Drosophila melanogaster: one gene and its partners. The protein of the gene in region 1 interacts with the protein of each later gene in a pairwise test. Each region holds a gene or a part of one and is shown on either strand. Other genes may lie near its edges.

Region 1 (3,569 bases):
AATATAAGTTGGTGAGAAACAATTAGTTCAATAATACAATAATAAAATACAATACATTTATTTATATTGTACATTTTTAAATTGCGGCAATGAAAGATTTTTCGCTTATACGAACGGACAGATAAACGGACAAAGCCAGATCGACTCGGCTAGTGATCCTAATCAAGAATATATTCCATTCAACCTGTTAAATAGTAAATACACTATCAACGAATATTCTTCTACTTTTAAATTAACGAACCAGGTGAATTTTGCTGTGGATCAAATAATTGGAACAGCAATTTCAAAAAACAATTCGTTTTTGGGTGTTTGAAACCTATTTCGAAGGTACACAGAAAAATCGAATGATTGCATTTTTATTTAAAATTATACCAAAATATAAAATTACATCTGTATGCCTTTATTTATTTTCTTTTATTTTTATACGGACTTCGCAATAATATGGCTAATTCCGTTTGATATTTAATGACCAGGATGGTAATGATTTTTTTTTTCTAAGTGCAGGGAGCTCAGTGGGGACGGTACGCTTTGTGGCGTGAATGGCGCCATCAAGAGGCAGCCAGGCGGTGCTCAACTGGCAGCTGAATAAACAGCATCAACAACAAGTGCAGGGAATGGGAGTGGGCTGGGATGGGGTTCTGGGGGTATGGACGGATGGTTGGATGGGGATGGGGATGGGGATGGGGATGGGACCAATGCTGAATACCGTCTCATCGACACTTTTTCATTGAATTCAATTAAAAGCGAAATTGAAAATTGAAATTCAATTAAGATGCTATAAATACGGCAGGGATGGGGTGCAAGGGTGTCAAGCGGGGCAGAGAGTATACAGGATACTGTGGAAGCATTCCGGGATAGAAAGGACTCGTGGCAATGATGATAGATGAGCTGCCAGTGGCTGCTGGAAGTGGATGAAAGAGATTCCATCGATCTGTGTATTGGCTGGGAGCTTCGAGCGGTGCTTATGATATGTGACATGTCCTTTTTTTGAACTTACTCTACTTTCTGTTTTTTTTTTTTCTTTCTCCCTGACATTTAATGGGGCATCAACACCAACATGTTGGTATTGATGACAAATAAATTGATGCTGCAATCAATCAAAAATAAATCAACCATATGGTGCACCAAGATAATCAAGTCTGGGAAACAATACACTAATCTGATTAGGCTCATTAGTAAACCACCATCTAATATTGTCTTATTAGGCTTCGTCTTCACATTTCCATGAAATATTGCCCTTGAGCCACCCAATCAATTCTTGTTTGGTAATAACATCTTTTTTAATTTATGGAATTTAAGCCCAATGCATTCCCTTTGCAACATATTTTGTCACTGTTTGAACTAAATTTAAATTAGTGAACTTTTGCCAACACAAATCCTCTTTAACACTTCAAGTAAGTCCATGATGCGAGCTATCTTTAATAATCCCAAACCCCAAGCCTCGGAAATCACCCCCTATTTTCCAGTCTATTGAAAACATAATTTTTAGACGGCTGCTGCTTTCAATTAACGCATTAGGCAAGGAAAAGGCAGCAGTTTCACTTTGCTCAGGGGATAATAATGAAGAAAAAAATAGAGACCAAGGGACTTTGTCTAACTTTTCCGAAAGGCTAAAGTTTCCGTGGGAGGTCGAGGTCGTTCGAAACTTTGTTGAAAATGACAGAAGACTGCAGTGACCTAAAACCAGAGGAGATGCAGCAATTCAGTTTCGCCAGCTGATGGAAAGAAAGTTGAAGTTTATGGAGTTTAAAAGTTGAAAGCGGTTGGCATTATTTGTCAAACATGGAACTGTATTTTCTAAAATTTATAGCAACGTATTTTTCCTATTTTTGATGCCATTTTTAAGAAAGCTGGTCAGACAAGAATTTTGCTTTTGCATCTCGCTGACTTCTGGATGCATCATAGTTTCATTCTACACACTGTTTTTCGGATTCCTTAACGCAGGCACTACTGTGGATGAGGTTATATACAAGAACAGTGAGTTGGAAAAGTAAGGAAACCTGAATTTTAAGAACAGCATCTAAACCCAAATACCAGCACTCAAGACTGATGTTTATGCGAAATGGTTCAATGTATTTCATATAGCTCTGATGATCGCAGCTGCAGTTATCCTGCTGATATCTGTTATGACGGTAAGAAAATCACTTCCAATATTTTTAATTCTAATAAAATTCCTTTTAGAAGTACTTAAGGATCGTTTTCGTGTGGATGGCCATGTTCATCATTCATATGATATCGTACTACATCATCTTCAATGCTTTGATAAATGTTCGCAATCCGTTCTTTAAAAGTGCTGTCTCTGCGATTATTTATGTTTTCGTGAATTTAGTGACGTTGGGTAAACATATATATTAAAAATCTCTATTCTCGTAAGTTATGCTCCAGCTTTTCAGGAATCGATTTATTTTGTTTGCTCAAAGTCTACACGTATTATTATGTAAAAGCGCATCCAGATGAATTCAGACCAGTTTGTGTGGATAAATGAGAGGATGTCCTTAAAAATTAAATTGAGATCAGCGAAATTGATTTTTAAGATGATGAAAAGCAATAGCATTTCGTGCTCTTTACCCCATGCTCATCAAGTGAGAGGATGATGCTTTTACTGTGCTAATATGGCAGACTCAATTTTCTTTATAATTTCATTAGCATCTTGATGAGAACTGAAAACGATTCCACGCGTGCCTGACAAACACGACACACATCGGGCTGGAAATTCTAGGCTAATGCTAATGAGGCCATAATACAGATTGCTTAAGTTGTAATTATGCAAAAAAGTTAATACCACAATAAAGAAGATATGGCGGAAAATGTGAAGGCAATTTCGTTTAAATTTGGCGCCATCATCTGGGCGAGCTAAACATGAGTATTTGCTTAAAAGTTTTGCAATGTACATAAATTACGTATACGACTTGTGGTTCATAAACAAATCTTGTACATTGAAATTAACAAAGAATTGTTTTGATAATTTAAAATATACGTATAATTTTTTAACATTCAGGCTTAAAAGAAATTCTAAAAATAAAAATATTTTGCAGAATATCTTATTTGCATTTCCTGTCAAAACGTCTGAAATTATGATTCTGGCTAAAAAATTTTGCTTCTGTATATCCTTGCAAATGGGATGTATACTGATTGCATTGGCTGGAATTTTTTTGGCTGGCATGAACATTGACTATATGCTCCTTTGTTTAAATAGTAAATATATATTCACATTGGCATTAGTATTATTTTTTGCATTAAATTTAATGTTTTGATAGGAACCTATTTCAGAGAAATGCAGCACAAATTCCCAGGTAATTTAGTGACTAAGCAGTTCCAATGATTCCATTTGATAATCTAGTTTTATTACCCAGAACAAGCTCTCTACACTGTGATACAAATGTCTCCCGATTTGTTAACTATCTTGGCATCGTTCATGCTAATATTTGCAGTCTTATCGGTATGTATATAATATAATTAAAGATGGTTTTTACAAAATATATGTATTTAGCAATATGGTTGGCTGTTTTGGACAACTCTATTCTTTCAAGCATTTCAGGCAGTCTTCTTTCTTATTTTCAGTTTAGCTT
Region 2 (3,029 bases), on another chromosome or scaffold:
GCGCTGCACTCAATTCAATTTATCTTGTGTGTGGCTATCAAAATAGAGAACAACTCGCCTAGAAAAGCCTGCCCTGAACTGCGCTCTAAAATTATGCATATATATTAGGAGGATATATATATATATATGAATGGTGTCTGTTTTCGGGATATATATATATTAATATATTTCAATTTTATTTGGATTTAAGGTTTGTGTTTCGTTTGCATTGGTTTCTTAGCTAGCCCCTCCAATTGCGCGATTGGCAGCCAATCGCACCTCAGTCGCGACGAAAAACGACGACGACGGCGCGTTTACGGATACGGATACGGCTGCGGAAGTACGGCTACGGCTACGGCTACGGCACTACGGCTACGGCTAATTTGTCGAACGGATCACCCAAGAGCGGAGCTGGCGAGCCGCGTTACGTATACGTCGAAGTGCAAGCACGTGACTGACTCGGAGCGACCGTTGCACGCTGCTTTTATAAACAGCTACATCGGGAGATGGCTCGAATGTCTGGCAACGCTTCGCATGCAATTTTCCGCGCGCGCTCTCTCTCTCTCTCTCTCTCTCACTCTCTGTCTCTCTCTTGCTCTCTCTGAAGTGACTTTTCCGAGCCCTGTTCGGCAACAGCTGATTCACTTGCAGGCCCAGAGGTTGAGGTTACAGTCAAAAGCCTGATGGTTTTTCCCAAACTCCCACGCAGTAATAGTTTGTCACACCAGAAAACACAGAAAATCGCACAGCACACGGTGTAATTTTGACTGAGTAACTCTCTTGTGAGGACCGCAAAAAAAAAACAGGGACCTAGCAAATGCAGGACAAAATCAAGCCAAACAGCCGCACTGACCACGCACAAGCTAATCTACCGCAGGACTAAGCGAAAGGCGAAGGACGAACCTGACCCACAGTTGGCTCCTGCTGGCGGCTTTCAGTGCTCCAAAAAGCGAGGGAGATGGCGAAACGCTTGGGTCACATGCGCAGTCGCCAATCAGCTGTTTGACCTACATACGAGCGCCAGTTCATCTGTACTTTCAAGCGTGCAAACGGGGGGCGTGTCGGGCGTCCCGACCCCGCCTAATGGAACTCATTAGATCTCGGCCATGAAAAGTTCACCCAAAAAGCTGTCAGCAACAGGTCTGTGGAAAGCTAAGTGAAAGCTTTTCCATGGCATAAACTTAACTTCGAAGTGGTTTCTTTTGCTGCTTTTCCAGCTTTATCGTGGTATATTTTCCCGCTAAACTTTATAGCTTTTCACCCCGACTAAATCGAAACTCACCTGAGCCCTTATGGCCGCCAAATGGATCTGCTTGGCTCGCAGGTCGAACTTCTTCATGGACAAATCTTCTTGAAGCTCATTGACCTTGTTGTACAGCTGACCCTCGATTCCACGGGTCTGCGTTCGATTTAGAGCCTCGATGGAGTCCTACGAGAGGAAAAGTAACCAGTCAAATTGATTATTTAAATAAATATTTTTGTAATAGATCTTGTAAAAGTTTACAATTTTTAAGAATAAAATGTATTTGTAATATTATAGATCTACTTGTAAAAGAAGGCTAGTTAAAAGCTTTCATAGGCAATACCCCAAATAACATATATTTAACTATCATTAAAAGCAATTTCCTGAAAATGTCTTCTAATGAGAATTGCCAAGGAAATCGCCGCATTTCGGAAAATCAGCATTGGAACAACATAAGGCTCAATTGTAAGGCCCTCCCAAGATTGAAGAGCTTCTTCTACTTTTTCGATTTGGAAAAAGGATGCAGGATTATAGCGGGCTTTGAGGCTTTGGTGAGCGTAATACAGATATTCAGTATATATCGTTTATCCAATCAATCAGTGCCAAGTTATATGATACCTGATCCCTTTTGGATCACAAAAATCGATAGGGAAGGAATAATCAAAAGAATGTTGCTTTATCATACAAGTAATCGTTTTTGCATGGGACTCGGATTGGTTACTGTTCTCAATTCTCTGCTGTTGCTAATTGGAAGCAAATGGGTGAGAGTCAACAGATGGTATTCGAATATAAAGGCTAATACCCATACTTTTTCGTCAAGGGCCACCAGGTTTGCCTCTTTCTTTGGATTTATATAACGGTATTCACCACTCTCATATCGAATATAAATAATAACTTAAGGAACCCAAATTTTGCACAAACTTTTCTAATAGTTCCATCATTGAGTAAGTGCCAAAACGTGAAGTCATTGCAAAAAAAATAAACAATATAACCTCTAACAGCTCTGGAGGGCTATTTCACATTGATAGTCGCATCTTTAATTTGTAAATTCCAAGACAAGCAAGATGAGTGTAACTCATACACCGAAATGCACACTTCAGATGGCAAAGAGTGCAGTTCTATCGAGAATACCGAACAGATATAAGCGGTTTTTTAATTGTATGACTTTACATAGTTTTTTGTGAAAGTTAAAGGATAACAGAAAAAAAAAACAATTGTGATATTGGCCACCCATTCAAATAAAATCTTTGGAAACATAACAAACCATTTTTTTTAAGTACCGACATGGCTGCGATATCGTACTGTGAGCTTTTATCATTTTGTGTATTATTGTGGATTATTCATCTCACCTGCAGCTGACGTATTTGCAATTCCAATTCGATGGCCTCCCGCTTCAGCGACTCCAACGCGGAGCGTTGTGACAGTGTGGAGTGCCGGTCGAAGACCAACTCGTTCCGCAGGCAGGGCGTCATCTCCTGCGGCGGACAGGTGCCCACAAAAACAATCACTTTAGTCCGCCGGACAGGTGTTATATGCACTACTACTCACGTTGTGGTCGCCCGCCTCCTCGCCGACCTCTGCTTGCGGCGATGCAAAGAGCCGTCTGGGAATCTTCTGGGCCTGCGATGGTTGGGCCAGGAGCCGGACGAAGTTCACTAGATCCTGTTGAGGTGAGACAGCTGCGCACTGGTTGCTCAGACTGTTGTACCGCTTAGCTTGGTCATTGGCCTGCGGAAAAATTATGATTTGGACACATTATTGACACAGATGTTTTGGTTTCCCTTAAACTGCAGTTGCATGGAGACTT
Region 3 (4,928 bases), on another chromosome or scaffold:
TCGAGAAGGAAGGACAAGACCCAGAAAAAGTAGTCTTAAATCCCGCCCGCGATGGCAAGGATCCCTTTGTTGGCTTGGCGTTCAAGCTGGAAGCTGGTCGCTTTGGCCAACTAACCTACCTCAGATGCTACCAAGGTGTCCTACGGAAGGGTGACAACATCTTCAATGCCCGCACCAACAAGAAAGTGAGAATTGCTCGCTTGGTTCGATTGCACTCAAATCAAATGGAGGATGTAAACGAGGTGTATGCCGGCGATATATTTGCGCTTTTCGGAGTTGATTGCGCCTCCGGAGACACTTTCACCACCAATCCCAAGAACAATCTGTCTATGGAATCCATCTTTGTACCCGAGCCCGTGGTCTCAATGGCCATTAAGCCAAATAATACCAAGGATAGGGATAATTTCTCGAAGGCTATTGCGAGATTCACCAAAGAGGATCCCACATTCCACTTCTTTTTCGACAACGATGTAAAGGAAACTCTTGTCTCGGGAATGGGTGAACTGCATTTGGAGATCTATGCCCAGAGAATGGAGAGGGAATACGGTTGCCCAGTGACGCTGGGAAAGCCAAAAGTAGCATTTAGGGAAACCCTGGTGGGACCGTGTGAGTTTGATTACCTGCACAAGAAACAATCGGGAGGATCGGGTCAATATGCCAGGATTATTGGAGTCATGGAACCACTACCGCCGAACCAAAACACCCTGCTGGAATTCGTGGACGAAACAGTGGGCACCAATGTACCAAAACAATTTGTTCCTGGAGTCGAAAAGGGTAACTAAAATTACATTCCTCAATGTTCTGATTTTAATATTTTATTTGCTTAGGTTACAGAGAAATGGCTGAGAAGGGAATGCTCTCCGGTCACAAGTTGTCCGGCATTCGATTCCGCCTGCAAGATGGTGGTCACCACATCGTGGACTCCAGCGAGCTCGCCTTCATGTTGGCTGCCCATGGTGCCATCAAAGAGGTCTTCCAGAACGGCAGCTGGCAAATCCTAGAGCCCATTATGCTGGTCGAGGTCACTGCACCCGAGGAATTCCAGGGTGCTGTAATGGGTCACTTGAGCAAACGGCATGGTATCATCACCGGAACTGAGGGAACCGAGGGTTGGTTCACTGTCTACGCGGAGGTACCGCTGAACGACATGTTTGGCTATGCGGGAGAGCTGAGGTAATCTTCAGTACACATTGGAAACGTTGAATTGTATCTAAATATATCTCATCTTTATTTACAGATCGAGTACCCAGGGAAAGGGTGAATTCACCATGGAGTACTCCAGGTACTCGCCTTGTCTCCCAGATGTCCAGGATCAGATCGTCCGGCAATACCAGGAGTCGCAAGGATTGGCCCAACCCGACAAGAAGAAAAAGAAGAACTAGGTTTTAACTTAATCTATTTTTAATTACCATCTCTATCAAATCGAAATGTTATTGTGTCACCCCTATTTTTGCTTAGTTAAATTTTATTTCATACAACAATTTTCAGTTTTCACTGTGATAAATGCGAAGTGTACAGTTATTTGTATAATAAAACAAGATTCAACAAAAATCGGTATACTTAATTAATCACAGCTTGTTGATATCAGTTGAATTTTTCGTCTTATTTTTCTTTGAAAATGAAATATATATATAAATTAATACAAATAACTCATTTATATTTGAAACGCTTTTGTTGGAGGCGCACATACTATTTTGTACCTATATAACACTAGGTACGGAAATAGGTACCGATTGGTACTCCGCGGTACTTAGTCATCTTACCGTTAAACAGGTCGAAAACGAGTATAACAAAAATATCGAATAATAATGTCAGATGCGTTAGGGAATGTGAGTTTCAGGATTTCGCTGACTGGTAACACTAGCCACAAAACTTGTGTACGTTTGTTTGTGTTGTTGTTTTCGCTTGCGTGCGGTTGATCCGCGGACAGTTTTTCCGCAAACTCGCAGAGGAAATGCAAACTGTGGCGAGGTGAAAGGAAAACTGACCACCGAAAGTGCGAAGAAGAACGAAAATTGAAACAACAGCAAGCGACAGCAATTAGCGAATGAATAAGTACGATTTTCCGGAACAATAATAATAGCAACAACAGCAACAACAACAACGGCTGCAGCCACAACAAAAATTTAACTCAATTAACGGAAAAGGCAAACGGGGGAAAATGCAATTGAAATGCCGAGAGCATTTATGAAGTGTGCTGATGTGTTTGCGTAGAAATGGAGCGATTTGTGATTGCAGCGCTTTGCTCGTCTAGTGTTTTCCGCTGCCAGAAAAGTGTGCGCAGGAAAATCGGTGACGATTCGTGAAAAAAGGGGCATAGAAAATTCGGTGAAAATTCAATACAAAAAAAACGCGGAAAACGAAAACACAGGAAAAATTAAAAGAGCGACAAAGAGTGAGAGCGTGCGAGAGCAATAGGGAAATAGAAAATAAATATCTTCGCTGCCTGCGTGTGGGTGTGCGTCAGTGTGTGTGTGTGTGTGTGCAAAAGTAGAAGATCAAAGCGAAACGACGAAAAACAAGCACAGCAACAACAACACACAGCTGACTTCCTTTCTTTCCTTCCTGCATTACACTGTTCAACAAACAATAGTTATAACCGCAAACGATGCGAAATCCAGTAACTACAACAACGACTACTTCCAATCGCCGGCTTTTAAACTAGTCAAAAAATCAAATCAATAACATAAACTACACATATCCGCTAAACGACAAAACCTAAAACGAAAAATAAATTTCAAAACACAAAGTAAACGAATAAACTAAATATAACCAAATTTCCAGTAAACAGAGATAGCTCACAATGGATTGGATCATCAATGATGAGATGGGCCTGACGGTCGGTCACGTGGTGGGCTGGGCCGCCGCCTCCGCAATGGTTATTGGGGGCGTGATCCCCTACGTGCCCCAATACATTGAGATCAAGAAGACGCAGGACGCGGAGGGATTCTCTCTGTACGTGTGCCTGGCGCTGCTGGTGGCCAACTCGCTGAGAATACTCTTCTGGTAAGACTTAACTTGTACGCTAATCAAAAATAACTAAATTTGTAATCGAAAATAGATACTGGAATACTAGATACATAATAGATACCTAGGAAACTAAAACATTACTAGCATCCGTACGAAACTAATTAAATTCATTACCTAATGCTCCATAATGTTAACAAAAGTGCTTAAATGTGAAAGCTCAAAATTTTGCAAGTAATTATGACGATTTCATATCCAAATATGCCATTTTTGAGCAATAAATCAATCATGAAAGGCAAAACGAACTTTTATTGCACGCGCTTATTTTTCTTTTTGACTGTACAGCACTCGAAAATAACACAAATCACTTTTGAACGCTGCGTATTCAAATGAAAATAAACACCTGCAAATTCTCTCTCGTTTTTTTTCTTTTGATTTGGGTTGAGAATACAATTGAAATACATCATAATTCTTTAAAAAAAAAATCTCTAGAAAATTACTGATATGGCACTTCCTTGTCTTTAAAATCTACCTAAAAACTTACTTTAGAAACATGCTATTATATCTACATATATATACAGAAAGATCTCTTTCGCAGTAGTTTCGAATCCTCTGGCACCCCTGCGGTGAAAACGTCAGGTACCTGAACCTCTCTAAGTAAACCCCTGTCCACTTTTATCTCACCCACATTGGGATGACTAAACCCACTCGGCAAATACCTGGTATGGTATTACGGCTTATCTGGGTGGGCAATTCAAACCGCTTATCACGCGAAATTCTCTCATGGTCCGACGCGACAATTTACGGTTTGGAGCACTTGAGACCAAAACCCCTTCCTATCTGTTAGCTATGTCATGATTTCTGGTCGATTTTGCTCACCATAGTCGATAGACGACTTCCACAATTTGGACGAAGGACCAGCGTACTGGTTTTATCTTTATTGTACTCCCAGCGGTATTTAGGTATTCGGCACAATGCACAATGTCGTCGATAATCGCTATTTTCGCTGGGGTTTAGGACACTTGATGGAAGATTTATCAGCTTTCATGCTGAACTAATGTTTTGTGGGATGTTTGATAAGATTGTTACACTCAACTCAATACAAGCGCAACTATAGTTTATAAGAAGTCAAAAAAAACTATTTCGTAATATACGAAATTCAGTCGTTTTTGGGAATATTTAGGTGACTTAAAAATGTTGACAGTCTGAACTTTCGTTTCTGGAATGGTTTCATCCAGCTGCCCTGGATTGTTGATTCATCTTTTTGCAGAGCGAAACATATAAATCAAAATTAATAAAGTAAATTTTTAATTCAATTTGAATGAGTGTGCAAAGTAGCTTTCAAAATGTGACAATGCCATTGAAACCAGTTGAAACTGACACAGAGCCAACAAACAAAAAGATATAATTGAATTTGCGCTATTGTTTATTCAGAACGTATTTTCATATTTAGTTCAAAATATATATTTGCCATATGGAATAAACGGAATAAACGGATTTTTAGGCCAGCTACTTCTCGACTGGCCTTTAACAACAGGGTCAACTACTTTTGTCCAGCTGGTTTCTGTGTATTTTTCAGGTTGTTTAGCCCGTTTAAAGCTGCTGCTATTGTGGTTTTTCGAGACCCATCGCTTCCTACTAATAATTTATTAACAAGCCAAGTGAAACGTGAACGCAAAAACAAAAAAAGAATAGGAGCAACTGGTGGCCCTCATCGACGCCGTCAATTTGTCTGGCCTGGGTGGCAATCAATAAATAAATTATTTAGCTGGAAACTGTTGCCGGCGAGCAAAGTTGAATCAGCTGGGCAACGAGGCTTTGAGCCGAATAATCCCAATACAATATGTATACGTTATATATAGATGTTTACGATTCCTTGTGGCCAGACATTTTTTTTCCAGACACGCGATCAGTTTCAGTTGGGTTTTATGAATAAAGTCAGTCAGTCTGGAGGCTAAGTA

The links. The genes of interacting proteins can lie anywhere in the genome.
Region 2: the proteins of CG42263 (region 1) and CG30472 interact in a two-hybrid assay, tested with the Drosophila melanogaster proteins (one large-scale study listed by BioGRID).
Region 3: the proteins of CG42263 (region 1) and CG13784 interact in a two-hybrid assay, tested with the Drosophila melanogaster proteins (one large-scale study listed by BioGRID).

Annotation. Positions count from the first base shown.
Region 1 is NT_037436.4:19,954,016-19,957,584, reverse strand, and holds CG42263 (uncharacterized protein), read left to right. Parts: upstream 1-1,785; 5' UTR 1,786-1,832; coding exon 1,833-1,977; intron 1,978-2,037; coding exon 2,038-2,132; intron 2,133-2,181; coding exon 2,182-2,338; intron 2,339-2,393; coding exon 2,394-2,485; 3' UTR 2,486-3,038; downstream 3,039-3,569. Other genes in the region: CG42654 (uncharacterized protein), read left to right, coding at 3,075-3,195, 3,258-3,293, 3,354-3,439, 3,491-3,569.
Region 2 is NT_033778.4:15,422,638-15,425,666, reverse strand, and holds CG30472 (uncharacterized protein), read left to right. Parts: upstream 1-1,527; 5' UTR 1,528-1,611; coding exon 1,612-1,983; intron 1,984-2,042; coding exon 2,043-2,166; intron 2,167-2,223; coding exon 2,224-2,366; 3' UTR 2,367-2,482; downstream 2,483-3,029. Other genes in the region: Stacl (Stac-like), read right to left, coding at 1,262-1,408, 2,572-2,697, 2,771-2,950.
Region 3 is NT_033779.5:7,216,987-7,221,914, reverse strand, and holds the start of CG13784 (uncharacterized protein), read left to right. Parts: upstream 1-1,881; 5' UTR 1,882-2,055; exon of another isoform or gene 2,056-2,784; 5' UTR 2,785-2,803; coding exon 2,804-3,006; intron 3,007-3,061; coding exon of another isoform or gene 3,062-3,062; exon of another isoform or gene 3,063-3,264; intron 3,265-4,928. Other genes in the region: mEFG1 (mitochondrial translation elongation factor G 1), read left to right, coding at 1-774, 828-1,173, 1,238-1,382.